Lonchura striata: one gene and its partners. The protein of the gene in region 1 purifies or fractionates together with the protein of each later gene. This does not show direct contact. Links are inferred from orthologs where the notes say so. Each region holds a gene or a part of one and is shown in the gene's direction. Other genes may lie near its edges. The genes, in order: RPA2, ATR, ATRIP and CDC45.

Region 1 (7,277 bases):
AGTGAGCCCCTGGAGCAGATTGCACTGCCAACAGCACCTTTGTCACCAGCTCCCAGTACCACCACACACACAGAGATTAACACGTGGAACCATGCTGGGGACTGAGCACAGGGAATGGGCTCTCCAATGCTGGCAAAGCCTCTTGCAGTGAGGGTGGCCAGGGAACCACACTCGACAAAGATGTTCGCCCAGAGCACCCCACACACACACAGAGATTCAGCATTGCTCCCTCAGCAATGCCCAAACCCCTCAAGAGGGAGCAGGCAAGAAGCTGCCAAGCATTAAGGCAAAATAATATTTGAGGGTGAATAGGAAGGAGGGCAGGAGCTACAGACTGGGGGTAGAGATGAGAACCACTGTTGCCTCTTGTTGCCCAAAGCATGTCAGATGCTTTTGCTGGCTTCTTAGCCGCTTTTAGCCAACAGCCACTAAAAGCCCTGATGGACAGTGATTGTGAGAGCTGTCACACAGGTGCTCGGGTGACCAGAACAGGTACCTGTGGGGCTGTAGAACATGCGAAAGCTGTCGGTGTGATGGTGCCCAAAGAACTGGGCAGCAATCACATTGTGGTGCTTCTGCACAATGCCCAGGTACCGCTCGTTAAAGCCCCTCCTGAACCAGGGCTTGCCCCGTTTCTTCTCGAAGAAGCCAGGGGGGACATGTCCCACAATGTAGACCTACAGAAGCAAGAGCTGCCCTGAGCACAAAGCCCACACCACCCATGGAGCACCAGCCAGCTGCAGCTGCACCCAGAGGGAGCAGAGCAGGAAGAGCTTCCAGGCTGGGGAGAAGCTTTATTTTTTCAGTCTTTTTAATACCATTTCATCTGCTCTAGAGGCGTTGGTCAGTGTTTCTTCCAGCCACTGGAACTGCCCCCCAGGATCCTCCTCACCAGCTGTCTCATCATTCTGGTCATAGTACAGGTTGGTGTTGAGGACAACCATCCGTCCCCTCATCCCTGGGCCAGGCAGCTTCTCACTGTAGAAAGCTCCTTAAAAATGAAACCAACAGAGGAAGAGCTGTAGATCAGCTCACATGGGTGGCTGTGAGCCCAGATCCCATTGTTTCCACCTCTCTCTGTTCTTCTTAGCAACAGCCACAGCAGGGTCACTGCTTGGGACGGTGCCCTGACCACTCCAGGATGTGGATTTGGAGTGAGTCTTTCCTGTGTGTCTCCCCAAGTGAAGGGAGACCTGAATGGGTACAATGGACAGCACCAGGAGCTGGGCAGCTCTGGAGAGCCCCAGCACTGCCTGCACCAGCTGCCACCTTTAAAGATATTTTTCCTCCCTTTGCAGGTCACCACTGCATTCTTTCCAGTAACTTGATAATGGCAGAAGAGACTAAAGTATAAAATAATTTCTCTTCTTGCAAGCAGAGTTCCAAGACAGAAATCAGCATTAAATTGGAGCCTACCTCTGCAAATTTTCTATGAATACTGCTGCTCTGAGCATAGAAACAAGGAAAATCGTTCATGGTATTCTCCTACCCCTCCTCATATCCCCAGCATGCTCTAAACACAAGCCAGTGGTGCCAGACCTGCTCTGAAGAGAGGAAGAGAGGCATCACTCAGCCAGGACTGCCACAGCTCTGCTGTTTGTTTGTAGATCCTGTGCTCCTTCCCAGGAAACTGATTCTTGGGGTGGAAGTCATGATTGCCCATCGCTGCGTAGACCTTGGTACCTGGAGACAGAGCCAAGGAGGGGCAGGAGGTCAGTGGTGCAGAGCTCCTCCAAGCTCCCCGAGGCACTCCCAGCCTTGGGAACAGAGCTTTGCCAAGGCAGCCATCCTCTGCCCCGGGCTGACACTGCCCAGGGCACCACATGGCTCGGACCCGCCCCTGGGACAAGCCACCCAGAGCCAAGTGACTGAGCTGTCACCAGCAGTAATGCTCCTTGCCCCCTGCTGACACAGGTTATGTCTGAGAGTTTCCTGCAGCCTTTTTTGCCTTCATTACTAACAACAGAAACCCTTCCTTTCCCCTCTCCTGAGTAAGCTAACCTGAAACATGAGTGTGCATCAATGCTGTATGGCACAGCAGAATTGAGGCCACCAAACAAGTCCCACTGACCACAGCCCTTTCCCTGTCTCACTTCTGTCATTTCTCCATCCTGGTTAACCTTTCCCATGAGCTTCTATGCTCCTCTTCCCTTCTCATCTCCTCAAATCCTACCTGGAAATGTCTCTTTTATCAGAGAAGTCAGATTTGCTATTATGTGCAGAACCTTTTCTTCTCCGAGCTCCTCATTGGGGACATGGGGAGTGTCATCTCTAGAAAAAGAGAAGCAGCACAGTCACTGTCTGGGACTAACAGGGTCTGTGCTTACAGCAATGAGCAGGGCACAGAACTTGCCAACTCCTCTCTGTGCCTCCTAGAAGAGAAAGTTTAAGCTTTTAGGTGCAGAAGTCAGTGCTATATTGACTGGCCAAGACAATGAGGGAGTTTCAAGAAATTGCTCACAGGGAAAATGAGCTCCACTCTAAACTTGCCAGAGTCAAGGAGTGCTCAGACAACACTCTCAGGGATGCACAGGGTGGGATTGCTGGGGTGTCTGTGCAGGGCCAGAAGTTGGAATCCATGATTCCTGTGGGTCCCTTCCAGCTCAGGCTGTTCTGTGATTCCAGGATTCGCTTTACCTTAAAACTCCTGTGCAGAAGGGCGTGAAGGGGAGGCTCCCTTCTCCTAGGCAGCACTAAAGCTGACTGGAAACACTGCAAGGGTCAGCACTTTGCAATCTGAGGGCATTTGATCTGCAATAATGAGGCAGAGCTGTTTGCACAGCTGTGATCACCATGAAACAAGGAAATGCCTCTAGTAATGCAGCAATCTAGGGCTGCTCCATGTCTGTGTCTGTACAGCATTTGTAGATGATGCTGGACTGTCCACAAGCCCACTGGAGAGAAAGAACATTCAAAATCATGTCAGAGGGCTGGGGAAAATTGCTTGAGGGAAAAAGAATACTCAACATAAGGTCACAAGAACCAATAACTACATCTAAGTAAGAACAGGCATCTTCAGGGACAGAAAATGAAAACATGAGATAGGTGACAGCCCTGCAAACTGGAACTGGAGATTACAGCAAGTTGAGACTGCACTATCAGAAGAAGGCTATCTACACAGTCACTATGCAAAACAAAACTTTTACCATCTGCAAATGCTATTGGGGCCTCCCAGAGGACAGGGGACCCACCCCTGGAACCCATACTAGGAGAGAAACATCCTCCACTGGGGAGGTTCCTCTGACTCCTGAAGCAGAACTGTCCCTTCAGGTCTCCCAGCCGCCTCGCAACCAGAAGAAACGCTACAAGCTGGTTTACAGTACTCTCCTCCCGCAGCTGCTTCCCCTGGGCATTCCAGGTGCTACGACTCACTGTGGGATCGGACAGGATGCACAAAGGACGGACAGCGTTTTGTCACCTCACTGCCACGAGCGTCTCGCCAGCGTCGAGCGCCCTCGCTGGGGTTGTGCTTTCCTCCAAGCCCTTGTTTCGCATTACAAGGCACGCTCTCCCTTTCAAAGCGGGGACCGCGTAAAGAGCCCCGACACACCACGGGCTCCGTGCGGGCTCCGCCGCCCCTGTCCCGCCCAGCCCCGGGGTCCCTCAGGCGGGCCCGGCCCCTCTCACCCGGTCCAGACCACGAAGTCCGGCGCGGCCAGGCGGCGCCGCATGGCGCGGGCGGCCGAGCGGAGCAGCCTCCAGGGCGCATCGCACAGGTAGCTGCCCCACGGCCCGGCGGGCCCGGCCCGACCGCCGCCCGAGGGGCACGGCCGTCCCGCTGCCGCCGCCGCCTCGTACCCGGGGTCCCAGTGCAGGTCCGTGAGGTGCCAGAACCTCCCGGAGCCGCCGACCGCACCGGGCAGAGCCACGGCCAGTAGGTACGGCAAGGGCAGCAACAGGAGCTCGCGCGTGGGCTGCATGGCAGAGACCGCCGCGGGCACCGGGGTCGGCCGGCACCACAATCCCGCCCTCACCAAAATCCCGCCTTCACCGGGACCCGGCCGGCACCACAATCCCGCCCTCACCGGGACCCGGCCGGCAGTACAATCCCGCCCTCACAGGGCCCCGGCCGGCACCACAATCCCGCCCTCACAGGGCCCCGCCCCCTCATCCGTGCCAGGCCGGGCAGCGCCCGTTCTCAAAATGGCGGCGGCGGCGGCGGCTTCCCCGCGCTCTCCTCCTATTGGACAGAGCCGGAAGGCGGAGGGATGCGATTGGCTGCCGGCCGGCAGAGCGGCGCTCCCGGATTGGGGGGCAGGCGGCGGCGCGCGGGGCCCGGCGCGCGGGCGGGCGGCGGCGGCGGTCCGGAGCGCAGCCATGTGGAGCGGGCACGGTGCGGGGCCGGGCACGGTGCGGGGCCGGGCGGGGCGCGGGGCCGGGCGACCCTCCAGGGGACACCCCCTCCGAGGGCCCCGCTTCCCGTGATGGCGGCAGCGCTGGGAAAGGGGACCGTGTCCCCGCCGCCGCGTCACGTTCCCTCTTTCTCCCCCCGTAGGGAACTTCGATGGCGGCTACGGCAGCATGGGCGGCGCGGGGCTCCCGGGCGGCTACACGCAGTCCCCGGGCGGGTTCGGGTCGCCCGCCGGAGGCCAGGCGGAGAAGAAGCAGGTAGGCCGGGCGGGGCCGGCGGGACGGGGCCCGGGGCCGGGACCGGCTCTGACGGCCCCTCCGCCGCTCGCAGCGGAGCCGCTCGCAGAACATCGTGCCCTGCACCGTGTCGCAGCTGCTGGCGGCCGAGCAGGTCGACGAGACCTTCCGGATCTGCGACGTGGAGATCTCGCAGGTGGGTGCCGGGGCGGTGGCGGCCGCCAGCAGCCGTGGCCGGCCGAGTGACCGACCCTTCCCTCCCCCGCCGCAGGTCACTCGTGGCCGGCCCGAGTGACCGACCCTTCCTTCCCCCGCCGCAGGTCACCGTGGTGGGCATCGTCCGGCACGCGGAGAAGGCGCCCACCAACATCCTCTACAAAGTGGACGACATGACGGCAGCCCCGATGGACGTCCGGCAGTGGGTTGATACTGATGTAAGCTTTGGATTTGCTAGGAACAGGCTTCTTGAGCAGCTCTGGGGAGCAGTGGGTGGACAAAAGCTGTAGAATTATACAGTATCTCGGATCATTGATGAACACCAACTCCCTACTTCTCACAGAGCTTTTTGAACCCAAAAGGTGTGGCTTTTCTGGAAAGTATTTTAGGGATAACGTGTCCCTGAAATCAAAGGGAGGTCCTGCTGCAGCAGAGATCACTGGCGGTGTATATGACTGTGCCTGTTTAGTATAGCTGAGTTCACTTGAACAGTTTTGGGAGGGTAACCAGGCAGATGTTCAGTCTTACTGCAAGTTTAGCATGACATAGGAATGCACGTTGTTTGTGCTTGCTTGAGATGAGCCTTCCTTGCTAAGTTGCTTCTTGTGACTGTTGAGAAATGGAAACAGGAAACAGCAAACCTGTTTTTCCCTGTCTGTTAGGAGGCAGGAGGTGAGAATGTTGTGGTACCTCCAGGAACTTACGTTAAAGTGGCTGGTCACCTTCGGTCCTTCCAGGTAAGAGTGTATGTGTACCTGTGTGTGAATCTTGTAGCACTCCATGTGGCACAAATATTCAAATAACGGTGTATGTGCATTTAGGGAAGGTGCAGATAATTCCCAGCTGCTTAGAAAGAGGAGTCACTGTCTCCATTGTCTTTCAAAATCACATCTCTCCCCCACTGCTTTCTTGCTTACTCCCAGTAGGATGGGGGGAATCAGAAGGGTCAAAGTAAAAAAACCCATGAGTTCAGATAAAAGCAGTTTAATAAGTAAAACAAGGAATTCATTCCATGCTTCCCATGGGCAGGCAGGTGTGCATCTTCCTCCTTCTTTCACCAGTTTTTTAACTGAGCATGACACTGGCTGGTCTCTCCCGTGGGGCAGTGGAGGTACCAGCTGTTTCCCTCACAGCTCCTTGTCCCCTCCCAGCCTAATACTGGTAGAGTTGTGTGAGAAGCAGGAAAGCCCTTGGCTCTTTGCAAGGGTTGGTGAGTAATGACTAAAACATCCCTGTGTCACCAACAATGTTTCCAGCACAAGTCCAACACCAGCCCATGTTACTAGCCCAAACCAGCACAAGAGGTGTGTCAGAACATTTTGGATGACCTACATACAGAGAAGGTCTTTCCCCACTGCTGTCCCACCCTCCTGGAGGAAATGGCTGGGTTGGCTGTTAGGCATTGTCATGTTGCTGTGCTGTAAATTGTTTTCTTTGTTTTGTGTTTGTTTTTTTCCTCTGAAAGAATAAGAAGAGCTTGGTAGCATTTAAGATCATGCCTCTGGAAAATATGAATGAGTTCACCACACACATACTGGAAATTGTCAATGCACATATGATCCTCAGAAAAAATCTTATGGTACGTACAAAGACCCTGATTTTATTGTGGCCCTTCCTGGGTGACTGGTGATCTCCCAAAGAGGGACCTTTCACTGGGAAAATTCCTTCATTTTGGGGCTGGAAAGCTTAAAGCTGAGCAACGCTGAAGGTGTAACAGGAGTCCTGGCTTCCTTGGAGAGAGATTGCAATCCACTTCCATAAGAAGCTATTTTTACTTACTGGCTTAGAAATAACAGTGAGTCTTTAACACTGCAGGCTTGGGCAGCCTGGGTAACCACAGCACTTTTGTTCTCCTAATTCCAGTCAGCATCAAGAGGGCCACAGTCATTTTCCTCCACTGGGATAAGTGACATGGGGGGCTACGGAGGAGGTGGCAGCCTGCCAGTGAACGGGCTCACGGCGCACCAGAGCCAGGTGGGTGCCAGCAGCTCTTCTGGGAGCACAGCAGTGGCAGCAGAGGCTGCTCCAGTGTGATCTAGTGTGGTTCTTGCTCATCCAGGTGCTGAACTTGATCAAAAGCTGCCATGTCCCAGAGGGAATGAGTCTACAGGACTTGAAGTTCCAGCTCCACAGTATGAGTATGTCAACAATCAAGTAAGTGTGTAGAAATGAAGGATGCTATGGAAATCCAGGCAGTCCTTCCAGAGGCAGAGAACAGTGGACAAGTCCAGACACTCACCTGTGAGTCAGGGTGGGTAATTCAGGTGGTCCCAGCAGCACAGGAGCCAGAGCTGTTGAAAGATTCACTGCCCTGAATGAGCTGTTGCCAGTTGCTTTGCTCCTTGTTTTCAAAACAAGCCTTTTATCAGTTCAGTGGCAACGTACTGCAGTGCCTCAGTAGCATTTCTCCTGTTCAAAGACTACCTTGTTCTCTGCACACTGATAAAAATCTAGGAATAGTCTCTCCTATTCTA
Region 2 (7,887 bases), on another chromosome or scaffold:
GTAGTCCTGCCCTACATTTATTTAATCTGTTTATGTAGACCTGGTGATTTTTGGAGCTTTTAAGGAAACAGTTAACATGGACGTGAAGTATTTCAGACATTATGATGAATGCTATGAAAGTATTTTATTTAATTAATTACTGCAATAAGAAGGGCAGAACATTACACAGAGACTTCACATGAAGTCTTACATATAAGAGTATGCCTAAACTTTTCACTTTAGGTATTTCCATATAGCAGGCTGTTAAGCTGATGTCTAGTCTAATGACAAAATCCTCAGAGAGTAGTGAAAGCTCTAGGTACTGGGAAAATACTCACCAAGGAACAAAGAAGTGATAAATAGTGCTCCACTACATACAGATTTAATTTACTTGCTTTCCAAAAAAAGATGGAAAAAGGACAAAGAACATGAATTCCCATTCTCCCTCCTCCATTGCACCGATTTCTATAGTAAGCAACACAATGGGGAAAGTGGACATTTAGCAGAACTTTTATCAATATCCTCTTACATAAACTCTATTCCAGTTTTCACCAGTACAGAACACAGAATCAGATGGAAAATTGTAGCTTCTAATAAGACTCTCAGAAAACAATAACTTCCTGAAAACTGGAGCAATGGTAGCTGGTAGAGTTTTTCAGATTTTCATTGAAGAAATATTAGAATAAAAGAACCTACATAATTTCAACAGTTAGAATTTTCAAATGTAGTTTAAATGACATTTTAAATGCACACTGCACAATTTTAGTACAGAATTTTAGACTTCAAGGGATGTTTAAACATCACTGTGGCTACAAGTTTTTTTTTAAAGAGTAAATTCCAGACTGTAGATTTTTATTTAGGAAAATAGATTCCAGGAATTTTAACTTTCATTCAGAAATTATAAACTAGAAAAGTCTTGATGATACACTGATACTAGTGGTTAATATAGCTCTGAGAGTTTCCTCCACAGCTACTAGCCTCAAGAATAACACTCTTCTAGAAATACTGGGAAGCAAGAAAAAAGTAAGGAAAAAATATATAGGCAACTATTTTTAAAAGTAGCAGTCGCAGATAAACAAAGAAACAGTAATTGCTGCTACACAAATAATAAAACTAGGTTCCAAAAAAATCTATAATCTGCCATTTCTCCAAATGACTAAATACTGTATTTTACATTATCAGTATTAGTAGGCTTATTCATAGAAAAAACATGAATAAGTGCTTGCAGGACTAGGATCTGACAAGATTATATTTAGAAATTAAATAGATTTTAGTAGTACATGGTTTCTTTTCCCACTTTTTTTCCCTCTTGTACGGGTGTACGTAATCTGCTTTTAGGTTTCTGGCTTGCCTGTTGTCCTTACCACCATTTACTGTTTCCATTTTTTACTGTCTTGTTTAATCATCACACCAATATTCAGGGTGACACAGAATTTTAATCTGTGCCACTTCATTCCAGCCCAGTTGACTAAGCAACAGAGGCAGAGATAAAAGGCACGAGTGCTGAGATCCACATTCTTACAGTGCAGAGGAGCAGTGTCCTGTGTCCAAAGGTCAGGCACCTGCATGAGTGCCTAGGGAAACGTGGCTTGGAGCACTCAGCCTCTCGGTGCTACTGCAGCAGCCCTAAGCACACCCTGACACTGAGTGAAACTACTTAGTCCAGCTCACAGGACCCCCGAGCACCATCTGAGCTGCATTTCCCCTCACCACCGCTGTCAGCTTGTGAGGTCACAGCTCTCTGCTCCTGAAGCATCAGGGATCACTCATGTGCACTTCCATGGGATCCTTTGGTCTGCCCGCAGGACAGCTGAGATGGAACTGCAGTCACACCAGCCTCCTGGGGGAACAGCTCACACACATCCACAGAGCACATGAGCCCCCAGAACAGTGATCATGCCTCAGAATTAAACAACAGAGGGAATAAAAGTACAATTAACATGCTCTTGTCCTCTCAGACCTGCTGGTCCAATGCAAAGTCACTCAGTGTCTTAAAATAAGTACAATGACCAGCAGAGGCATGTGGTAAATTAACAATGAAAGCCAAGAAAGAGAGAGGCCTGAGTGGAAGAATCATGCAACTATAAAGTGAGAGGACTTCTCAAGTAGGGAAGTGAACAGAAAAAAAAAAAAAAAAAGAGTAAAAAAAAAAAAAAAAAAGTAACAGCAGCTTTAGCAGAAATCTTGGAAGTGCTGTATCTGACACTGAATTTGACATTTAGGTTGTACCTATCTGCATAAATTTCTTCCCCTGACCCAAGTTCTACAAGATGGGCTCTGCTCATCTAAGCCTCCTTTCACCAATATGAATCAGCTTCGGGACAGTAACGGAAGGTCTCCAGGCACACTATCTTCATTAACAATTAGTGACTCTCTTTGCACACGTGGTAACATGCCTGCTTCTCCTCTTGGGGGTCAAGAGACATAAAGTGCAACACAATGAGATAAGAAAGAAACAATGAGATGCTTATCCCATGTTTAAGAAAAGCAAGAAATGAAACCAGGTGTTTCAGGTGCTGTTTCCCTGGAGGGTCTATACAACGCTAGGTTGTGTGAGCATCCTCACAGCCCAATGAAGTTGTTATGGGCACTCTCATGTGGAATCTTCTAGCACCATGGTAGCTGGGGAAATTTGATGGTATGGTGAAAAGTCAGTAGATGGGGCTTTGCAACTGGGAAGTAAAATTCCCAGTAAGAATGGGGAGCAGAAGATCTCTCTGCTGATTGTTAGAAGTACTTATTATAAACAAGAAGAAAGCCTGAATTACATGCTCAGTAAATGCTCACAGAAACAACACAACAAATCCATGTAGCATTCTACCTGTGACAAATGAAAGCATTTCTACAATAACTATACTAATATGATCTCACTGTTGACTCCAGAGACTCCCATGAAAAAGCACTGTTTAAAATTAAGCACTTTATGTACCACACCTATGTTTTACCAGCAAAACCAATCACCTTATGATTCACTAAATTTAGCTTATTTCTTAGGATAACAGGGTCTTCTTGAACTTCCTAATATACCAACAGTATCCTGCTCTCTCTTACATTCATCAGGGCTGATACATGAGTTTTAACTCTACATTAAATTGGCATGCAGTACAGTTTACACCTTCCTTAGTGTGACTGTCATTTCAGTCTTGGAAATTTGCACTTCAGAACATTGTTTTCACAACAATAGATACTTTAAATTGAAATGGTCTAGAAAATCTTGTGTCCAAAATAACACTGATAACAAAACCCAGATGTACTTGGTCTTTCTGAACCATTAAAATCCTACTTTAACAAACCACATAAAACAGGGTTCCTGTTTTTTCTCTAGGAATTACTCTAGAAAGACTAACATTTTACAAAGTTAGCTAGTAGAACACATTGCAATACATGCTGAAAACCAAACTAAGATAAAACCCAGTTATATTTTGTAAAGTTTCTTTAAGTATTTTAGGTCCTTGCCAATTTACCGGCCTTTAAAGAGGCCAGCAGAATTTTACTGAAATGACAAACATATATTTTGCAGAATAAAAATAACTATCTCTGAATGAAATATAGCAATAGGTTCCCGAAAGCATTAATCTGAAATGGTTCAAGTAATTGAAACACACGTGGGCTGTTTTACATGCAAGCGACACAGCCCTAGCACAGTGGAAACACGCAAGAGAATTATCCTCCGAGAGGATTTTATTTCAACCCAGAAACAACGCTAAGCAAACTTCACAAACAAATGCATAAAGAGCCAGAGCTCATAGTAACAAAAACAAAGCTCAGAGTTGAGTGTCCCCTCGCGTACTCTCTCTGCAGTTCACACCTGCCCATAAGCCCTTGTTTTATTCTTTTTTCTCCTGAACGCTCGGGACTCGCTGCCCAGGTGGGGCCACACGCTCCCGCTCAGCGCCCGCCTCGCGTCCCTCCGGGGCTCTCCGCGGCACCTTCCGAACTCTACACACGCCAACGGCTCGCAAAAGAAACGTAACGCAAAGCAACATGTGCTCAGAAAGTAACAACAACAGCAAAAGAGAAAAGCTCTATCTTACACACGCTGCTCACCACTACCTGTGCGGAGGAGCGCCGAGCGCGCTCACCTGCCGAACGCGCCCGCCCGCCGGCTCCGCTCGCCCTCGGCCCGGCCCCGCTCCCGCCGGCCCCGGCACACGGCAGCAGCCGAGAGCGGCCCCGGCCCCGCTCCCGCCGGCCCCGGCACACGGCAGCAGCCGAGAGCGGCCCCGGCCCCGCTCCCGCCGGCCCCGGCACACGGCAGCAGCCGAGAGCGGCCCCGGCCCCGCTCGCTGCCCACCTGCCCCGCGGCCGCGTCCCGCAGCGCCGGCGCCCGCCGGGTCCCGCCACCACCTGCTGCCGCGGGCCAGCCCGGGCGGGCGGGGCGATGGCGGGGGCGGGCCGGGGGCGTTGGGGCCGGTCCCGGCGGCCGGCGGAGCTGTCCTGCACCTGACACCCGGGTGCGTCCCGCCGGGGCGGGCAGGCGGCGGGCGGAGAGGGAGCTGCACCGAGCGCTCCCTTGGCAGCGAAGTTTCTCCTCACAGCGCGGGCGCTCCCCTCCTCGCTTAAGCCACTTCCAGCGCTGCGGCGCTTCCTGTCGCGCATCCCGTACTCCGCCAGGCGCCCGCCGGGACCGTGTGGCCCCTCAGTGCTGCTGCCGAACCGGCCGAGGCCGGGCGGGGTGCGCTCGGCCCCGCTGGGTGTTACCTGTCCGTGCAGCGCTCCGCGCAGCAGAGCCCCGCCGGGGCGGCGCGGGGTCCGCGGGAGCCATCGGGGACCGATTCGGAACCGCCGCGGCCGCTCCGCGCCCGGGGACGAAGCGGTTAAAGCCGAGCAGCGCCGGGGGAGGAGGTTTGGGCCCCGCCGGCCGCCGTCCCGCCGCGCCCGCCCCGCGCCGCCCGCCTGATTCAAAGCGGCGCCATGGCGGAGCAGGGCCTGGGCATGGCCTCCATGATCCCCGCGCTGCGGGAGCTCGCCGGGTAGGCCGGGCCCGGCGGCCGCCGTGCAGGGCGTGTGTGTGCGGGGCTGGCTGCGCTGGGGAGGCGCGCCCGGCAGGTGTGGCGGGGAGGGGGACAAGGAGGTGTGCGAGGTGTCCTGCGGCCGGGCCCGCGCCTTCACCTGAGCTGGGCCCTTCTCCCGCCACCTGCCCGGTGCTCCTCTCTCCCTCCCGGGTGGCGCTGGCACATCCCGGCGTGAGCGGCCTGGTGCCTCAGAGTGCCCGGTCCGAGGCTGCGTGTGCTGTGAGCGCTCGCTGAGAGCCACGCGAGCTGCAGCATGCCGGCCTCTGCAGTGTTAATGGCAGCACGGGCACTGTAGCTTTGTACAGCAATAAACAGCGAGCTGATGTGGAGGTACAATTGTATACCGAAGATGTGACCCTACGAGACCTGATTGCTGTGGGACAGGCCAGTCACTAAAACAAGAAAATTGAAAAAAAACCCCAACCACGCCTCCCCCCACCTTCAAACCACTATACACCACCAAGAAAACCATTTATGTTTATTTTTGAAGACTTCTAGAAGAAAATGAGTGTTTAACATTAAACTGTTGAGATAGACTTCCAAGTTATTATTTTGTACTTTACAATTGGTAACATCAATATATCATTCTAATTGCAGTGCTAGTCCAGAAGAATACAACACAGTTGTGCAGAAACCAAGACAAATACTTTGCCAATTCATTGACAGAATTCTTACAGATGTAGATGTTGGTAAGCATTGCAATCCTCTAATATAAAACTGTCTGCTTTATACTTTAAGTAATTCCTGCCAAAAATAAAAGTTAAGACACTATTAAGAAAGTTTTAGTTGAATACAATGCCATTTTATTACCTAGTTTTTAATAAAGTCAGTGATGAAGTATTTCGCATTGGGATGTGAAGTTCCCTTGTAAATAAACCATACACACAGACCCCCAAGGAAGGAGGGGTGAGTGTAGTGCAGGGTTGTATGGAAACGAATGCTCACAACATTGAAAAGCAGGAGTGTCATGTAATGTCACTGCTATGAGTAACAGAGCTTGCAATTCTTAATATTCACATGTGTCTTTCAGAACTAAAATCTTGTCTGAATCTCAGATAGTTTCCTTCTTGTTCTAACTAACACTGGATAGGATCCCTGCAGGATCTGGATAAATCTGATACGAGTCAGATACCTGTTTCAATGGAGCAGCATTAGATATGTTCAGTGTTTTGTTAAACTTTCTGCTTCAGTAAGCTGACTTTGCCATTTAAAACCTTTTATATTCTGGGCATTTGAAACAATTCCCAGCATTGTTTTTTTATCAAGACTGTAAACCTAGGGAAATGTTAAGTATTTGCTGTTCTTCACTCAATACACAGTTGGATAGAATTTTAACTGAATGTTAATGCGTTTGGGGTTAATAATATTTAATAAGTAATTCATACTTTTCTTCATACAGTTTGGAGTCACAGAGAGGGTTACAATATGCATACAATTATCTTCATAGATTAATAAACATATTTTCAATAAATATTTTGAAGGGTTTAATACCATATCATAATATTTTATATTTTTTATTTTCTCATAAAGTGTAAGCGCAATTTTATGTGGTTTATTGCCATGCTGATTTCTTCTTTTTTTTTTTTTTAAGTTGCCTTGGAACTGATTAAGAAATCAGATTCACAGCCAAGTTCTGTGATGTTGCTGGATTTTATTCAACATATCATGAAGTCTTCCCCACTTATGTTTGTAAATGTGGATGGAAATCAGGAGGAAACTGAATGCAGTTGCATTGGTGAGTTTGTTGAAAATGTTTATGTTGAAGCTTGGTATTTTCAAGATTTAAATTTGCAACAGAATGGGAAAAAAGGCAGATATGTAAGTTGATCATTATAAATTTATAAGTTAATATGATGATAGACTTTGAATATTGTGAATGGATTAACACTTGTGATAATGGAAATTTCTCGGGACAGATTTTGACATTATCCATTACCATTGCATAGATATATCATTATATACTGTTGATGAGATATGGTGTACATGTACTCATTGCCTGAGGGTGTTTTTTGGACAGAGGAAAATGTCTAGAAATTCCACTGTAAAGTGTGTGTCTTACATTCCCAACCCCCATGTTCTTCCCCCTCTTTTTTTTCCTCTTTTTCAATGAGATCTGCTGAATAAATATCCCAGTGAAGACTCTGTTTACGATGCCTACATGCATTTCTCTCAATGTGTTTAGTTTTAGTGGTAAGCAATCTGCTCTTAGGGAGGTTCTCAGTTGGAGAGTTTAGTTTTTATCTTAATAATAAAGATTCTCTTTTATTGTCCTAGAATTTAGTAACTGGATCATAACAAGGCTTCTTCGTATTGCTGCAGCTCCAAGCTGCAACACATTGCACAAGAACATTTGTGATGTCATCTGCTCTTTACTTTTTCTGTTTAAAATGAAGAATGGCTCCATTTTTGAAGCACTAACTAAAGACTTGCTACAGCTTTTTCAAGACTTAATCATCTTGCATGAAAGAGATACACAGAAGCATCTCTGGGGAGATGGACTCGTCTGGCCAGTGACTGTACAGAGATTTTCCAGCAATATAAGTGACAAAGTGGGATATTTAAGATTGGCACCATTACAGCTGATGAGTATGCCAAATATAGAATATTTGGAAGTTGTATTGATGTCTATTCTGACAAATATTGTTGCAGATATCTTTTTTTTTGTAAGACAAGATATTATTCTCTGGGGGATAGGCTGCTCACTGTTAGAGTATGGCAGTCCAAAAGTTAAAACTTTGGCAATGAAGTTTTTGGTGAAGTTAATTCATTTAGGAGGACCTCCAGAACAGCTGGCCAGTGTTTTCTTCACGGTCTTTTTTGAAATTCTACATTCAGCACTTGAAATGGATACTGAGGAATCGGAACTCTTTGGAGAACCACTCTTACTGTTGGT
Region 3 (7,483 bases), on another chromosome or scaffold:
AAAAGCCTGGGGAAAAAAAAAAACAACCAACCAAACAAAAAAAGCAGCACACCACCAAAACAAGTCAGAATAATTTTATCATTTAAGCAAGTCTTTATTTTTCTACTCCCATAGCTAGAAATAAGAAGAAAACTAATTCCCCGCTTCTTTTTGCTAAAATATTGGGGTGTGATGGAACCCAGCCCTCAAATAAATGCATGCTTTGAAAAAGGGAAAATAGAGAGTTATTTTGGTGATTTGTGCCTCACAGTCAAACTTGAATGACCCTGAGAGAAGTCTGTGCAGACAAATCACTGGATTTATGTTAGATCTGTTTCCTACCCCTCTTTGTGTTACTGTTCTGCAAATTGCAGATTTTTTTTTTAGCAAGTACTAATTTTGACTAAAACCCGTCATAAAGAGTGCTACAATATTGCTTTTTATTACAAATACGCAAAACTTTTTCGAAAATATAAATGTGTAAAACAATCCACCAACTGTACAGTGCATTTACAGGACACAGTTCAGAAAGGAACATGCAGTGTAAAGAATTGCTTTATACATTTAGCCCTTGGCCACAAAGAATTTGGCAGTACTACCATGATTTTAATGACGATAGGGTGAAAAAATAATTAAAAACAAAAAAAGCTCAGCTATATCTGACTTTACTATGAGGTTGGGATACATACAACATCGTACAGGGAAGAGTTGTTTTTAACTAGAAACTGTCATCATGTTGTAACTCTTGGAAGGGCTGGATCTGCCAATTCTCCACTCCTCCTTGCAGCTGGTCCTGCTCTCCAGCTGTTTTGCCGCCTTCCCTCCAGGCTGGGGGCTTTCGTACAGCACACAGATAGACCCATCCTCACCTATGCGATAGGACACTTCGAAGGGGTCGACCCACAGCGTTAATTCGCTGGGTAAGAGCTGGAAGAGCCTCTCGTGGCTCAGTCCGATCATCCCCGCCGCCTTTCCTATCAAGGGGTCCATCTTATGGTTGATCCTGATGCAGCGGTAGCCGGAGCCCTTGGAGGGCACCAGGGGGAACCAGTGGTGCCTGTAGTGCTCTGCGGGAGGGAACAAAGAGGAGCTTCTGCGCGGGGCTGCGCTCCGCCGGACCCCGCAGGATGCGGGAGGGATGCAGGGCAAGGATGCAGGGGATGGAAAGAGGGGATGCCCCCCCGGTACTCACCGCGCATCGCCTCCTGCAGGCACTCGCGGAAGCACCGCAGCTGCTCCTCGCCGACCCCGCCGGCGGCCCGCAGGAGGCGGGTCACGAACGCGGCCGCTGTGGAGATCTCGGTCCTCATGTCCGCCCCGGCCCCGCTGCCAGCGCCGCCCGGCCGGGCCCGGCCCCCGCGGCCGGGGGCGGCTCCGCGCAACAGCCGCACGGCGCGGGCGGGACGGGGCGGGTTTGTTGTGCTGCCCATGGGGCGGGATCGGCGCGGACGTACGGGCGGCCCGGCACACGGGCGGCCCGGCCAGCCGGGCTGCGCTCGGGGCCCGGCACACGGGCGCGGCCCCGCCGCTCCTTCACCCCAACGGAGTTAACGGGTGCAACGCGCGGCTGCAACGCGCGGCCGCGCTCCCGGCCCGGCTCTGCCCCCACGGCTCTGCCCTCACCGCCACCCCAGGCCAGCGGCGGCTCCTCTCATCCCTCCATCAGCTCCATCGCAGCCGTATTCCAGGCAGACGGCGCCGTTGTCCTGCCTTGCTCCCTTTTCCCTCTCTTTTCTCAGGGCCCAATACAAGCACAGACTAAAACCCCCTCCATCTCAGACACGCAGCTCCGAGGTCATCCTTGACAGGCGGGTTTTCCTTTCCCTCGACCAGCAAAAGACAAAACTCTTGACATTTGCCCAAAACCCAGAATACTCCCCTCCTAACCGACTCTCAGGTCTGGATCAAGATGCTGTTTTATTATAACAAATTTTCACCGAAGTCCTATTTGCATTTTATTACCTCATACTTTAGGAATTAAGCTAAAAATTTAATCTCTGCTGGTACCTGGACTCATTCAGTCATCCACTTCAGTTTTGATTTACTCCGTGTTTTGAGAATTAGAACACAAAACATATTCACATCAATCTTCATTGAAATAAGAGACAAAGAAACGCTTGCACTGGAGTCACAGAATTATTACTAGCATTTAGAATAAACTTACCATTAGCAGCACTAAGAACTGTCCAAATCCACACATAAGTTATTAAGCTTAATGCTTAATTATGCTAAAGAGGTTTCTCCTTCCACAATGTATGTGCACCCAAATGAATAAATGCACAAATTCCCTATTACCCCAGTGATTTTACACTTAAGTCAGTAAAACAAGATACTGCTAAAGCCAGGACAGACATTAAGGGCCCTGGTTTTAACTTGCTCATGAGTAAACTAAAATAATGGTAATAGTAGAAAGCAGATGAGTTGTAGCTAAAAGTATTGCAAGAGTCAAATGGTAATGCTAAAACTGCTTACATGGATTGAGGCCTGACACCTGGATCCATTAGTCCTAAGTGGAATATTCAAATGAAACAAGAAATTCTGGCTACAAAAATTAAGAATGCCACAGTTGTCAGGTAGCTTCTAAACTCACGCTTTGCTTTCTTGTGTTCTCCTCAGGGAGTTTCAGATTTAAGACTCAGTGTAAGCAAGACAGAGAAAAATGAGAAATCAGCAAATATGTAACTGTGTTACTTTCATCCCCCTGCCCAAAAATTATTCCATGAGCAGCTGTATTTAAATAAAATTCTACATGTCAGACTTACTTTGTTGTTATTCTAATCCTCTGCAAGTCATTTTCTCTTTAGCAGGAACACCTGGAGTAGAGGAAAACGAAGTCAGTATCTTGGTTTATCTTGTTAAAAATAAAGCCTGTGCAAGTGTTCTACCATTCTATTTTTCCTCAGTTTCAGCTAGCAGAAGAGGAGAAAGTAAAACTGAAAGTATACCACTCAGACAATATACTATTATTTAAAAGGAGCAATAATAAAAAATAGTCATACTATCATAATCCTACTAATTTATTAAACAAAAATCCTAAACAAACAAACAACAAAAACACACAAACAAAAACAACCCAGAATTAAGAACAAGTAATGTCTAAATCCAGTTCCTTTTAGATTACTTAGATTAAGTTCTCAATATATGTCTCTTTAAACATAAGCAGCAGAAACAGAGCACGAGAAATTGCCAGGAGAGGTTTTAAACTAAACAAGAAATTTTGTTTTTATTCCATCTGTTCAAAGCATCTCTCTCTAAATATAAAAAGATGAAACCATTCTTAAAAGCAAGGAGAAACTTTATGGCAAGACTAGAAAGACAAGCATTATGTTACCATTCCCATTAGAGGGAGAAAAGCAATAATTCCAAACATAAATAATAGTACCTTCAGTGTTTTGAGCAACAAAAGCATTCACAATTCCCCCAGTTTGGTACATAATTGATAGAACAACTTCTTGGAGAAACAAAAATAAACCTTTAAGCAGCACCTCAAAGCTAAAGTGCTACAAGAGCACCTGCCCTCTGAGGCTGCCCCTTCTGCGTGCACCTGAGCTGAGCGGATGAGCTGTTCCCACCTGCTGATTCCACTGGGATCCCTGCTGCCACTTCAGCACAGCTGGGAGCGATGGCTCAGGGCTTGCTTTGGGCCCTACCGGCTCCTCACAGGCTGCTCATGCACTGCACGGAAAAAGAAAATTACCTCCAGTGATAACCCAATTTCCCTGCATGTCACGGGCAATAGCGAAATGAGCAAGAAAAATCAGAATTCTATAACACAATTGGAAATATGTCACACTAGCACAGTGGTTTTCACTTCAAAGACCATCAAGGGGTTTGTAAACTGATTTGTAGAAATGAAAAAAAATTGTAGCTGTGTTTTAAAAACGTGCTGTAAGACTATCGTCTGGTCTCCTCTTAAAAGGTTTATCAACATAGCTGTGGCCTCACACCACGTGAGTTATAGAGCTGGAAACTCTGTTTTTCAGTCCACATTTAAAAACGGGTCATATATGATTACAAAAGCAGGTTAACGCCAGTAATTTAACCATGAGGGTTTAGCACAGGACTTTAGCAAATACTGCACTTCCCTGACTCTCCTAGAGGTCCCAGTTTATCGAGGGCAGTCGTGTCTGTGGCTGCACAGGACGGGTCACAGCCGCCCTGCGGCTGCGGCGTGACGTCATCGTTCCCGGGATGAAGCCAGGTCTGACAGCAGCGGGACAACCCTCGCCGTGACGTCACCGTCCAGCCTGACGTAATCGCTCGAAAGCGTGACGTCAGCGCCTTCCCTCACAGCGCTGAGGGGACAATCCTTCCCGCCTCCGTCTCTCCCAATCAGCGAGGCGCTTGCATGTCGGCAGCTCGCGGCCAATCCTGGGAGCGCTTATAGCCGGCTCTGAAGCTGCCGCCACTCTATTGGCTGTGTGGGAAGGGCTGCCCGGCGGCGATTGGCGGGAGACGCGGCGCGCGAGGGGCGCGGCCGGGGCGGCCCCGCGGGTCCCGCCATGGCGGCGCTGCCCGGGCCGCGCAAGCGGAGCGGCTCCGCGCTCTGCGGGGAGAGCGGCGCTGCGGCCGCCCCGCCGGCTCTCCGGAACGTCCTGCCCCCGCACAAGCGCCCCAAGAGCGCCGCGACCGGGATCATGGACCCCTTCGGGGACAGCGATGACTTCACGGCGGACGACCTGGAGCAGATCGACATCCTGGCCTCGCAGGCGCTGTCGGAGGGTCCGCCCGCGGGACACGCGTGGGGAGCGCCGGAGCTGCCCCCGGGCGCGCGGCAAGGTCGGTGTGTCCCGGCGGCTGCCCCTCACTGCCCCGCTGCTGCCGAAGCGTTCGGTGTCCCTTTAGCAAGCACGGAATGGCTGGGTTGGCAGGGACCTCAAAGCCCACCCAGTGCCACCCCCTGCCACGGGCAGGAACCCCTTTCACTGTCCCAGGCTGCTCCAAGCCCCGGCCAGCCTGGCTTTGGATACTTCCAGGGATCCCGGGGCAGCCACAGCTGCTCTGGGCACCTGTGCCGGGTCCTCACCTCCCTCACAGGGAAGAATTTCTTCCTAATATCTAACCTAAATCTCTGTCAGCGTGAAGCCCCTTCCTATTGTTCTGTCACTAAAGGTTCTTGTAAATAAGACTTGCTCCATCTTTCTTGTAAGTTCCCTTAAGAGAATTAATTGATCCTGCCCGTTCCCCTGGCCACCAGCACCCGACGGTGGTACGCCCGGGGTCAGAGGGATGGCTGGCATTCAGAGGAATAACGAGGATAACAATCCCAGCAGGAGCACTGCATTGATCCCACAGCTCCAGCAGCCCTGCCTGGGGTGTGTGTCGTAATGCCAGCCTGGGACAGGGGTGCTGCATGTTAAACCTGCCAAATAAAAAACTCGAGTTTCCTAAACTTTCAACATGCTTTAGGTGTTATATTCTAGTAGCATGTTGGCTTTCAGATTTTCTTTCCCCTCTTATTTTCCACTAATAAATGCACAGCATGCCTTGTATTAACAGCTGACTTTCAGGTTTATTTTGAAAGAAACAAAAGCAGGGGTTTCTTCATAATGAACCTTAGAGACCTTAAGTAATCTAAGTATGTTTTAGCAACCCTGACATCTGTCACCAGGTGAGTTAAATTTTCAGTGAGCCCTTGTTTGTGCATTCACTAAAGTTATCTCAGAAGAAATGCTTGCTTTTGCTGTGGGTCATCTTGGTGGTTTAAGATACGAGATGATCTTTAAGGTCCCTTTCAACCCAAACCATTCTGTAATTAAAAATTTGAAGGGGCAGGGATTCTTCTGTTATAAGAATTGATGCACATGCACTAGCAAAATTCCTGTGGTGACTAGATGGGGCAGTTTACCTGTTTGTAATGACAGTAAAATACTAAGATATTCAGATGTATGCAATGACAAATAACAAAACTTGGTGTTAAGTCACCAGTGATGCACATTCATCATCTGTGCTTCAGATTTTGGCTTTTCCCTGCAGCAGGAAGCAGAGCAGAAGATGGTCTGATGAGAGATGCATTCCAGTTTGAAGTGCTGCAGACACAGCATGAAGAAGTTAAACGGAAGGTTGGCAATATCCTCCCTTCTCCTCTAAATATTACATTTTTGATAGGAACAACTGAAAGGTGGGATAAATCCAGTCCCAAGCATTTAATTCTAATCAAGGTGATCTAATTTTTGTAATCCAGGGGTGTATTAAAATACAATAATTGTACTAGAAACAGCTTCAGTAATACTAAAGAGTGAGAACAATATTTTATTTCTTGGTAATTTCAGATTAGCAAATGCTAATTTTTCAGTTTTATTTGTTCCCTATCAAATAATTTCTCTGCTTTATCAGCCAGAGTTGTTTTGTTTAACTTAAAAGGTTTGAGAAAGTGAGGTGACTTTCAAGTGGCTTTATGTTACGTTACCTTCCAGTGGTCATTTATGGAGAGATTCTCTGTTTCCCTTTCTCCATTCTCTGTATCTGTCCCAGCTCTATTATATCCACCTTTATCAGGGAATCTCCTACTTGTATACTGTATTAAATCTTAATATTTCAGTTGTAGAGAAGTGTCTTTCTGATCTTTTCTTCTTGCTTTTCTGAGTAACTTCTTTATTATCCTCAAAGTCTTGTCTCTGAGTGGTAGTGGCTGCTCAGGAAATGTTAGAGACTCAATGTCATGAAGATTCTCTCTGGGGGTGGTACCTTCTCTTAGAGTGCTTGTTGGCTGTCCTGATGGATGTAGTAGTGTAATTAAATTATCACTGTTATCATCCAAACAATGAATTAATTATTGATGTGTGTGACTAGAACACTTTTTTTTTAAAAATCCAAAGCATAATTGCAGAGGAGGGGAAAGATAAGGATAATCTTGTAATTTTGAATTATGTTAAAGAAAACAGTAGCTGAGCCTGATTTAATCAGGGAAAAATTCGAGGTAATGTGTAGAATTTCTGAGCTAGGTTACCAGGAGCATTTTTCTTCCTAGGAATTACAAATACACCTAATTTTCAACCACATATTGATGCAAATGCATACTTTTGGCTATATCCATCCTTTAATGTAACTCCTCTGTTTGCAGCTGAAAGAAATGCAGGATGAAATTCTCACTAAAAATGGAGAAATTAAAATTCTGCGTGACTCAATGCAGCAGATGGAGTATGCTATGGAAGAACAGAAAAGATCATACCTGCTACTGGAAGAACAGAAATCTCAGATTTTAAGTGAAAAAGAAAAAGAGTTCTCCAAAAAGGTTTGTAAATTTGTCAGTTACCTGCAGATCACTTGCAGAAGCTGATTTATGACTTAAAGATGTCACAGACCATTTAGTCAAAGGAACAACATTTGTGTGAAATTTCCACAATGCTTGCTTTTATTTTCTTACCTAGAAGAAAGTATTTGTAAGAACTTGTTGAAGGTTTTCCCCTGCCAAAATAAAGTAGTGAAACTCAGGTGGTAGAGGTTTTCATTTACGTACTGCTTTTTTGAAGCCATCCTGAGAACATTGCAATTGGAATGTATG
Region 4 (7,898 bases), on another chromosome or scaffold:
TGATACCTTCGGATGTCTCCTGGTTTAATTGGTGAGGGACTGGGCTCCACACCTTTCTTCTTGCCATCCAATCTGTTCCCAGATCCAGAGAATGCCTGTGGATACATAATCAGTTTTAATTGAACTCCTGGCATTTGAAAGCACACTTCACAAGGACATTATATCTGTAAAATCTTACAGCAATTTTTATTTAGTTATTTAACTCAGCATGATTCTTTTTGGTACATATAAGCTGATGAATCATGGGTGTAGGAGTCTGTTTCAACCTCTCATCTGCCCTTTGCAGAGAACAATTCATGCTGCTCCTGGCTGTGATGACACAAAACATTCACAGGCACTTACCAGTTAAATAACAAGCATCTATAAGAACAGGTACTGATATTTTGCAGTTGTTCAGAACAACTTTCCCTCACCATTTTACAGGATTCAGAAACCAGCAGAAACAGGGCACTTACACGAAATCCTATATCGCTCACATACCCACTGTGGTCTGCTTCCACATCCTGTGAGGGGAAAAACAAGTTCATGTTGTTTGTGTTCTGACATGCACATGCCATGAAAACTGTTCCAAGTATTTCTGGCCAAACAAAACTTCAGAACAATCACTTGTCAAACCAAGACACTTTCTTAAAACAACAGTTGGTAAACACCAGTCCCCTAAGTAACACATGCAAAGGCTTCTGGCAAGTAAAATTTACTCTACAGAACTTGTTTAAATAAAAAAAAAAAAATTATGTTGGCACTTCCCCCACAGTCAACAGTGACTTCTAGGGGATGCATTTTGGAAGAACAAAAGTTTAACATACTGCGGTCTCTTCATGTTGTGCACTTCTTTCTGGTTCTTTGTATCCCAAAGGAGCATCAAAATCCACCTATTTACACAAGAAGCATGAAAAAACCCATTATTAATATTTTTCATTAAATCATAAGCTTTATACTACTATTCCTCAAAACTTCATGAACTATTACCACTGCGTTTGAGCTAAAAAGAACTAAGGTTTGGTTGTTAAACATTTTAACTCAGAACTAAAAAAAGACCAAGCCTACTAGGAATTAACCTTAGCATGTAATGGAAACAAAGCAGTAAAACAGCTCCACAATATCACTGGAGTGTGAGTCAAGACAAGGCTATTAAATAAAACTCAGATAAAACATGCCAAAGTTAAACATTAAATTCTAGGCATGGTAGTCACCTGATGGTGCATGAAGTACTAATCGGGATCACAGAAGGGGTTACAAAGGCACATGAGTACTCCCAAGTGAGTCATCTTCCCCACCCCATGGATTGCACCTTTCTTGCAGCATCAGCTGGGCTGGGTGTGCAGAGCTATCACTGCCTTCCCCTCTTGGGAGGACAGTTAAGGCAGGCCTTCCCCATCAGCTTTAACTTACATTCATATCACACTCTATGATGGACACAGCCTTATCTGGTTTGGTCTCCATTACCCGAAGCTCATAGATCTGAAACAGTCATAGATATTTCAAGATTGCATTATGTGTAAGGAAAGCATATCTAAACCTTCCCCTCCAGACCTGAAGTAAGTACTCTTTAGGTTGATAAGAATAAATATTGCAGGGTCTCTACAGAATTTAAAAGCAAAAGTTTTTAGAAGCCAGAGAACCCATTACTGCACCTTGCTGCACTCTTACTGTACTTTAACCTCCATTTTTGAAAACAAATTCTGAATTTAGGATAAATTCTTTCCCTTCACTTGTGAAAACTTCAACAGCACAAACATTTATTTTCTTGTGAGTCCAAAGAAATTTAAACAGCAGCTCAGAAAAAGACTTAGCTGACTCCTTTTTCCCTCCAACAGAAAGCCAACTGTGAAATCTGCCACGTGGGATTACTTGTCCAAAACACTGCATAGCTCTGAGTTGATTGTTTTAATACCAACATCCAACACTAATAGTAGTCTACAACCCTCAACCTTACACTGTACCTTTTCATTGTAGTTGATGGCAATCACATCCCCAGTAGTTAGACAGGCGAAGTTCCTCAATGCATTTTCCAGTCTTTGCAGTATGTTAAGATGAAATATTTATTTTCAGTGAAATATCAAAGCCTTAAAATCACCATACTGTAGATCACTAATCCTTAGTTTCTCAAACATGGTTTAAAAGCCATCAGTGCATATAGGATTTTAGGATATATAAATTCTTCAAAGGGGGACTCAAAACTCATTAGATTTTAAGCCAACACTCCTCCTTCTTCAGACCACACTTTGTTCCAACAGTTGACCACATCTCTGTACATCAGCTCTGCATCCCTTTTGTTTTCAGAAGGGGCAGCAGTGGCCATGTACTACTGGAAGTGTATGAGCCACGTAAGACAAGCTCGCTCTGTTTCATCATTCCAATTTGGAAGCAAATTTTTTCTCCTTTATTCCATAATTTAATAGGAAGGATACACAGCTTTGGGATTGGTGATGTCAAGAAAATCTGGACTTTGTGGCTGAAATTTTGAGTAAGTAGCAACTTGCAGATTCACACTCTCCACTTGCACCAGGCCTCCTTCTTCCAGCAGCAAATTCTGCATCATCTGCAAGAATGGAGACAAACACACACAGCCCTATCAACGTGTCTGATATTTTCAAATCTCTCTCCTGTGTATATCAGCTCTTGTGTATATTCAATTTCAGGAAAAACAGTCAGGTGAACGTTAAAAGCAGTCTGCTTTGCTAAGTTAAACTTCTGCAGAAGGAAGCCTGAGCCAGAACTGAAGGCTGTTGTAGGAACACAACCAGCAGAGACAGGCACTGTCAGGAAACATTCACATCCTTAATATTAAGCCTGGCAACTCCCTAATCCTACTTTTCAGGTTCTGACAGTCCAGCATGAGGCAGCTCACCCAGTGTGGAAGGTAACAGATGCCCTCGTCAGCCACAAACTCAAGCACTCCACAGTGAGTCATTCTGTCTGAGTTCTTGTTGGTCAGCTTGAACAGCATGGGGTAAGTAATATTAAGGCGGCCTAGTAAGAAAGGAGAAAAAAGTTTGCTTTGTTAAAAGCCCCTCTGAAAGCTCTGAAGCTTTCAGAGATCAATCACCAAGAGAATGGGCCCCTCGCACCAATATCCCAACTGCTCAAAATACCAGAGAAAGCAGATGTACAACTCCAGTGTTGGCACGGCACTCAGAACTTTAAATGCTCAGGGAGGCCAATATTTCATATGTCTGTGCTTGAAGGCAGAAAAGCCCCATGAATTCTGACAGAAAAAATACCTTTAAAATACATTTCTTAAACTAATTATTCTCACAGTACTGATTTAAGACTTAAATAAATAAGTAAAATACTGTGGTATTTGCCTACACATTTGCTCCTATTTCTAATATTGTTATTCCAGAATAATGCATTCACTTACTGAGTTGATCCAAAGCTGATGGTGGCATAATTACTGCAGAAATGAATAAGAATGTGAAATTAGGAAAAGTACATCTGTATAAGAGTACATAACACACAATTTTATCCTTCCTTTCTCTAAAATCTCTTTTAAAAAAAGGGCAGATTCTACAATCTTCAAATTTATTTTTTAGACAGAGAGTTCAGTAGAATGAGTCATGACAAATATCCCTGCAATGTGGATATTTCAGAATTACAATCAGGGAAAAAACAAAAGAGAAGACAAGGTTTTACAATATTATTATTAAAGAATTACTTTCCCAAAGCTAATTTTATTCGTTAGGGCTCCCAACTCAAAACAACATAGCATTAGTCTGACACCTTGAAAACTAAGTGACTTTCTTTATACAAATTAAAAAGCACAACATGGTGCAGGGGAGAAACTCCTCAATCATAAACTTCCATGGCTCACACTAGATACAAGATTTTAAGAAGAAATTTTGTAGATGAAGTCTGTTCCTTCTGATACTCATAAACCCCGAGTCGGTAATCATTTTTAGTTACCGAGTAATGCATGGCACATGACCCCTCCTCCTTCCTCAAACCCAGCCCAGGGTGCTCAGCACTCTGTCACCGTGTTTTCAATATTCCTGCTGCCTTGGCCAAAAGCTGCAAGACTTGAAACTATTCAAAAACACTCTTCTAACAGTTTATTAGTCAAAATAAAACATGCACATACTCTTCCCGCCTTTCTCCACATCTGACCTGTCATTAGGTCCGGCAAGCATGGATACCGAGAAGCAGCGGTACTGGGTTGAAAAACGGTTCTGGAACACCCGGGGAATGGGGTGGTCAAACATATTAAAAGAGAACTAGAGGGGGAAAAACAACACACAGAGAAGAACGCAATCATCAGTATCTAGAGCACACAAAGCGACACAGCACCCACTGAGGGCTCCTGCAGTGTCGCCGCCGTGACGCGGCCCCTCCCGGCCGCCCCCCGCTCTCACCATGGCGGCGGCGGCGGCGGGCGCTCCCTCGGGGCCGCCGGGCCGGGCCGGGCCGGGCCAGCGCCGCTCGTTCCCCTCACGGGCCGTGCCGGGCCCCACCCAGGCCCCGCCCCTCCCAGCGTGCCGCGCGGCGCCGCCCACTCGGGCGGCCATTGCGGGTGAGGGCGGAAGATGGGCCCTCGCGCCCTCCGACGCGATCATCGTCAGGAGTCTCTTCTGCTCGCTAGGCTTCTCTTCGGTCACTGGGTGTTGATGCGGCCCTGCTGCCCCTTCTCCGAGCTCCCTTTAATGGCAAAGCTTACAACTTGCCCTCAGAAAAGATGGCGGACACAGCGACAAGACCAGGCCAGGGTGCTTCCGGCCAAGGCCCTCTTGGGATTGGTCAGCAGCGAGTATCGTCACCGCATTCTCCGCATTCCATTGGCGAGGCCCAGGAAAGGACTTGGCATCTCGCTCTGCAGAGGCGGGGTGGGCGCGTTCCTATTGGCCAGCGCTGCGTGAGGCGCGGACCAATGAGAGGCGGCGCTGGTTTGGCGCTCAGTTTGAGCGGCGCGGCCCGCGGCTGCCGCCCGTTCCCGCCGCGCTCCCGTTCCCGCCATGTTCGTCTCCGACTGCCGCCGCGAGTTCTACGACCTGATCGCCACCCAGGTGCGGGCAGCGCGCCGGGACCGGGCCGGAGTGGCTCCCGGGGCGCCCCGGCGGCGGGCGGGGCCGCCTCCCCTGGGGCTCTCCCCGCTCTGTGTTCTGGCCGCCTCACGGCGCAGGGTCGGTGCCCGCGGTGACTGAGGCGCTGCGGTGCTCCGGGGCGGCGGTGGTCTCGCTCTGGGGCCGCAGAGCGGGGGTCGGTGGCGGGGAGCACCGGCCGGGCGGCCGCGCTGAGGGCGGCGGGTCCGGCTGTCAGCCGGGTGGTTAAAATCCCTTTCCCGGGTGTTTTCCCCTTCCCTACCTTGGGAACCCTGGACAAAGCAGCGTCAGCGTGATGAGGTTTTGCCGGGGATTTCACTCAGGGTTCGCCTCCTTCCGCAAAAGTGTTCTTGTGTGCTCTGGATCTCAGGCTTAACCATGACATCGCTGAACCATTTAAAAAAATATCTTTATAACCATTTTGATGTTATTTGCCCAGACACTAAATACTGTTTTCTGTTATCTTTAATGTTTTTCCTGCAATCTTGTAGCACATTTGTTTGCTGCTTGTATTTTTGCAGGGCTTGGTTAACTCCTTTCACTGTGGTAAGGTGGTGAAGCTTTTATTGGACAGTCTTTTAACATTTCTACCAAGGAAATGATATTATGGACTGTGCAAATGAAAGCATTTGTCTTAATTTCTCCAGCTGAGCAAAACGTCAAAACACTCTTCCCTGAAGACCTAAAACAACACTCTCACAAAACAAACAAAAAACCAACCAACCAACCCTCTCCCTGCCGCCCCCAAAAAAATACCAGCCAACCTTGATTTAAATGAATTTATTTCCCTAGTTGCCTTGCTTTTGCTACAGATTTTTTTAGTTAAAACTGTTGCAAATCTGCTGAAAACGAAGGCCATTCTAAACACTATGAAAATAATTGTAGGGCTTGACTAGGTGTGAAACTGTGGAAGTATGTGAGGTCCAGAGGAAACAGTAATTACCTATCCCTAAAGGAGCTGACACATTTTGGGTATAGGTGGAGTTGCTTGTTTTTAATATTGACAGATATCCAAATTTTGGTTGCAGGTCCATTCAGAAGCAATCTTGTTTTATGCTTGTGATGATTTCTATCTGAATTTCTGGTGTCTCAGTGTTCCATGGATTTCATGTACCAGCATGGTCTATTTGGCACCTATTCATACTATTATTTTGTTATTTTTACAGCGTGTTCTTCTTCTTGTTGCTTCAGATGTTGATGCATTATGTGCTTGTAAAATACTCCAAGTAAGTCTTGGTTCATTATCACTGCAAGCTGACAGTATGAGAAAATATGTATGCCCTAGGATCCTATACATGGGTGTGAACTAAGGAGAGGGGGAAGCTTTAATCTGCTTTTGTAACATTGGTTTCCATGAGTTATGGCACTGAAAACTGGGGAGTCATAATCTCAGAGCTCATATAGATTTGTCATTTGGGGTGGTTTTATTTTAAGGGTTTGTATAGAATAGACTCAGCCTGGTGTAGCATTGTAAGAGAGGCTGTTTCCCCTCCCCTCTGCTCACAGCTGTTGCTTCCTTGCAGGCTTTGTTTCAGTGTGACCACGTGCAATACACACTCGTGCCAGTGGCTGGGTGGCAAGAGCTTGAAACTGCCTTTCTGGAGCATAAAGATCAGGTGAAAAAATACTGGAAAATTTTTGGGCTGTAGCTCATCTTTTGTAAAGATAAACTGCTTTCCTTTCCCAATTTAGAATGTCAACCCTTAACTTATTGTTATTATTGTTATGGTTTCTTAAAGCTCGTTACATTTTAACATACCAACAATAAACTTGTCAAGTTTTTAACATCACAAATGTGCTGTAGTGTTGATAGAGTCAAATGGAGTTTGCACACATTTTGAGATAAAAAGGTGCAGGTTTTTGTGTTTTGCTTTAAAAAAAAATCTGCCTCAGAGGCATCAAATATTAGAAAATAAACAGAAGTTTTGGCAATGATGAGTGCTCTGTGGGTTTTGTAAGCATATTTTCAGTTTTCCATGTTTTCTGGCAATTTAAGTAATGAGCTTCTTTTCTTTTTCTGCTTTTGTTTGCAGTTCAAATACTTTGTTCTTATTAATTGTGGTGCTAATGTAGACCTCCTGGAAATCTTGCAGCCTGAAGAAGACACTTTTTTTTTTGTATGTGACAGTCACAGACCGATCAATGTAGTGAATGTTTACAATGACACCCAGGTAAAACTTTGCTTCCATAATAAAAGCCTCCCCACAGTGTGGTGGTGAGCAGTGTAGTGCTTTTCTGTGCTTGCAAAACTGGTTAGAAATTAGCTTGTAGGTCAGAAAGCAGCATTAATAAATAAATATTTGCAGTAGTAATGTACATGACCAGAAAAAAAATCATTTTTCCACTAGTGAAATGTCTAAAGTTAGCAATGTGGTAGTTGTCAGTAGTAAGCACCTGTTAATGTTGTTGCTATAAATCAAACTGCCATAAATCAGAGGATAAACATCCCTCCAGAATGTAACGTGTATTATTTCTCAGCATCTGGCAGCACCTAGAATTTTAAGTATTAAGCATAAATTATTTTATTTTAACAAGCATTAAAATGATAATTTTTTCAGTAATGCTCTAATAATGGAATATAGATTTTTACTCTTATTTTCTATAAATCAGTACGGGAGTTGCATTAAAAACCAAAGTTTTGTTATGCCAGGAATTAATACAGCCTAAATGAATTTTTGGTTTCTTTTCTAAGTAAGATTGCATTTTGCTCACTAAATAAGATACTTACTCTAAAATACAGTTTTCTCCTTGCTAGATTAAGCTGTTAGTCAAGCAAGATGATGATCTCGATATTCCTGCTTATGATGACATCTTCAGAGATGAGGAGGAGGAGGAAGAGGACTCAGAGAATGAAAGTGATGG

What was found.
Region 2: the proteins of RPA2 (region 1) and ATR purify together in Homo sapiens (affinity purification with western blotting; 3 studies listed by BioGRID, with this or other methods). This does not show direct contact. The link is inferred for Lonchura striata from reciprocal best matches to the Homo sapiens genes RPA2 and ATR.
Region 3: the proteins of RPA2 (region 1) and ATRIP purify together in Homo sapiens (affinity purification with western blotting; 5 studies listed by BioGRID, with this or other methods). This does not show direct contact. The link is inferred for Lonchura striata from reciprocal best matches to the Homo sapiens genes RPA2 and ATRIP.
Region 4: the proteins of RPA2 (region 1) and CDC45 purify together in Homo sapiens (affinity purification with western blotting; 3 studies listed by BioGRID and IntAct, with this or other methods). This does not show direct contact. The link is inferred for Lonchura striata from reciprocal best matches to the Homo sapiens genes RPA2 and CDC45.

The regions. Positions count from the first base shown.
Region 1 is NC_134628.1:5,394,949-5,402,225, reverse strand, and holds the start of RPA2 (replication protein A 32 kDa subunit), read left to right. Parts: upstream 1-4,273; 5' UTR 4,274-4,317; coding exon 4,318-4,333; intron 4,334-4,495; coding exon 4,496-4,608; intron 4,609-4,681; coding exon 4,682-4,783; intron 4,784-4,907; coding exon 4,908-5,021; intron 5,022-5,465; coding exon 5,466-5,540; intron 5,541-6,268; coding exon 6,269-6,382; intron 6,383-6,666; coding exon 6,667-6,777; intron 6,778-6,862; coding exon 6,863-6,957; intron 6,958-7,277. Other genes in the region: SMPDL3B (acid sphingomyelinase-like phosphodiesterase 3b), read right to left, coding at 497-677, 819-991, 1,540-1,683, 2,174-2,271, 3,628-3,920. UniProt on the Homo sapiens protein: As part of the heterotrimeric replication protein A complex (RPA/RP-A), binds and stabilizes single-stranded DNA intermediates that form during DNA replication or upon DNA stress.
Region 2 is NC_134612.1:12,839,874-12,847,760, reverse strand, and holds the start of ATR (serine/threonine-protein kinase ATR), read left to right. Parts: upstream 1-4,885; 5' UTR 4,886-4,893; coding exon 4,894-4,952; intron 4,953-5,591; coding exon 5,592-5,683; intron 5,684-6,585; coding exon 6,586-6,729; intron 6,730-7,268; coding exon 7,269-7,887. UniProt on the Homo sapiens protein: Serine/threonine protein kinase which activates checkpoint signaling upon genotoxic stresses such as ionizing radiation (IR), ultraviolet light (UV), or DNA replication stalling, thereby acting as a DNA damage sensor.
Region 3 is NC_134614.1:7,102,307-7,109,789, forward strand, and holds the start of ATRIP (ATR-interacting protein), read left to right. Parts: upstream 1-4,469; 5' UTR 4,470-4,481; coding exon 4,482-4,758; intron 4,759-5,955; coding exon 5,956-6,041; intron 6,042-7,042; coding exon 7,043-7,213; intron 7,214-7,483. Other genes in the region: protein BTG1, read right to left, coding at 694-1,046, 1,172-1,289. UniProt on the Homo sapiens protein: Required for checkpoint signaling after DNA damage. Required for ATR expression, possibly by stabilizing the protein.
Region 4 is NC_134620.1:7,541,743-7,549,640, forward strand, and holds the start of CDC45 (cell division control protein 45 homolog), read left to right. Parts: upstream 1-4,886; 5' UTR 4,887-4,949; coding exon 4,950-5,000; intron 5,001-6,202; coding exon 6,203-6,262; intron 6,263-6,559; coding exon 6,560-6,652; intron 6,653-7,069; coding exon 7,070-7,207; intron 7,208-7,791; coding exon 7,792-7,898. Other genes in the region: UFD1 (ubiquitin recognition factor in ER-associated degradation protein 1), read right to left, coding at 7-95, 456-503, 807-872, 1,393-1,461, 1,944-2,016, 2,412-2,542, 2,852-2,973, 3,365-3,397 and 2 more. UniProt on the Homo sapiens protein: Required for initiation of chromosomal DNA replication. Core component of CDC45-MCM-GINS (CMG) helicase, the molecular machine that unwinds template DNA during replication, and around which the replisome is built.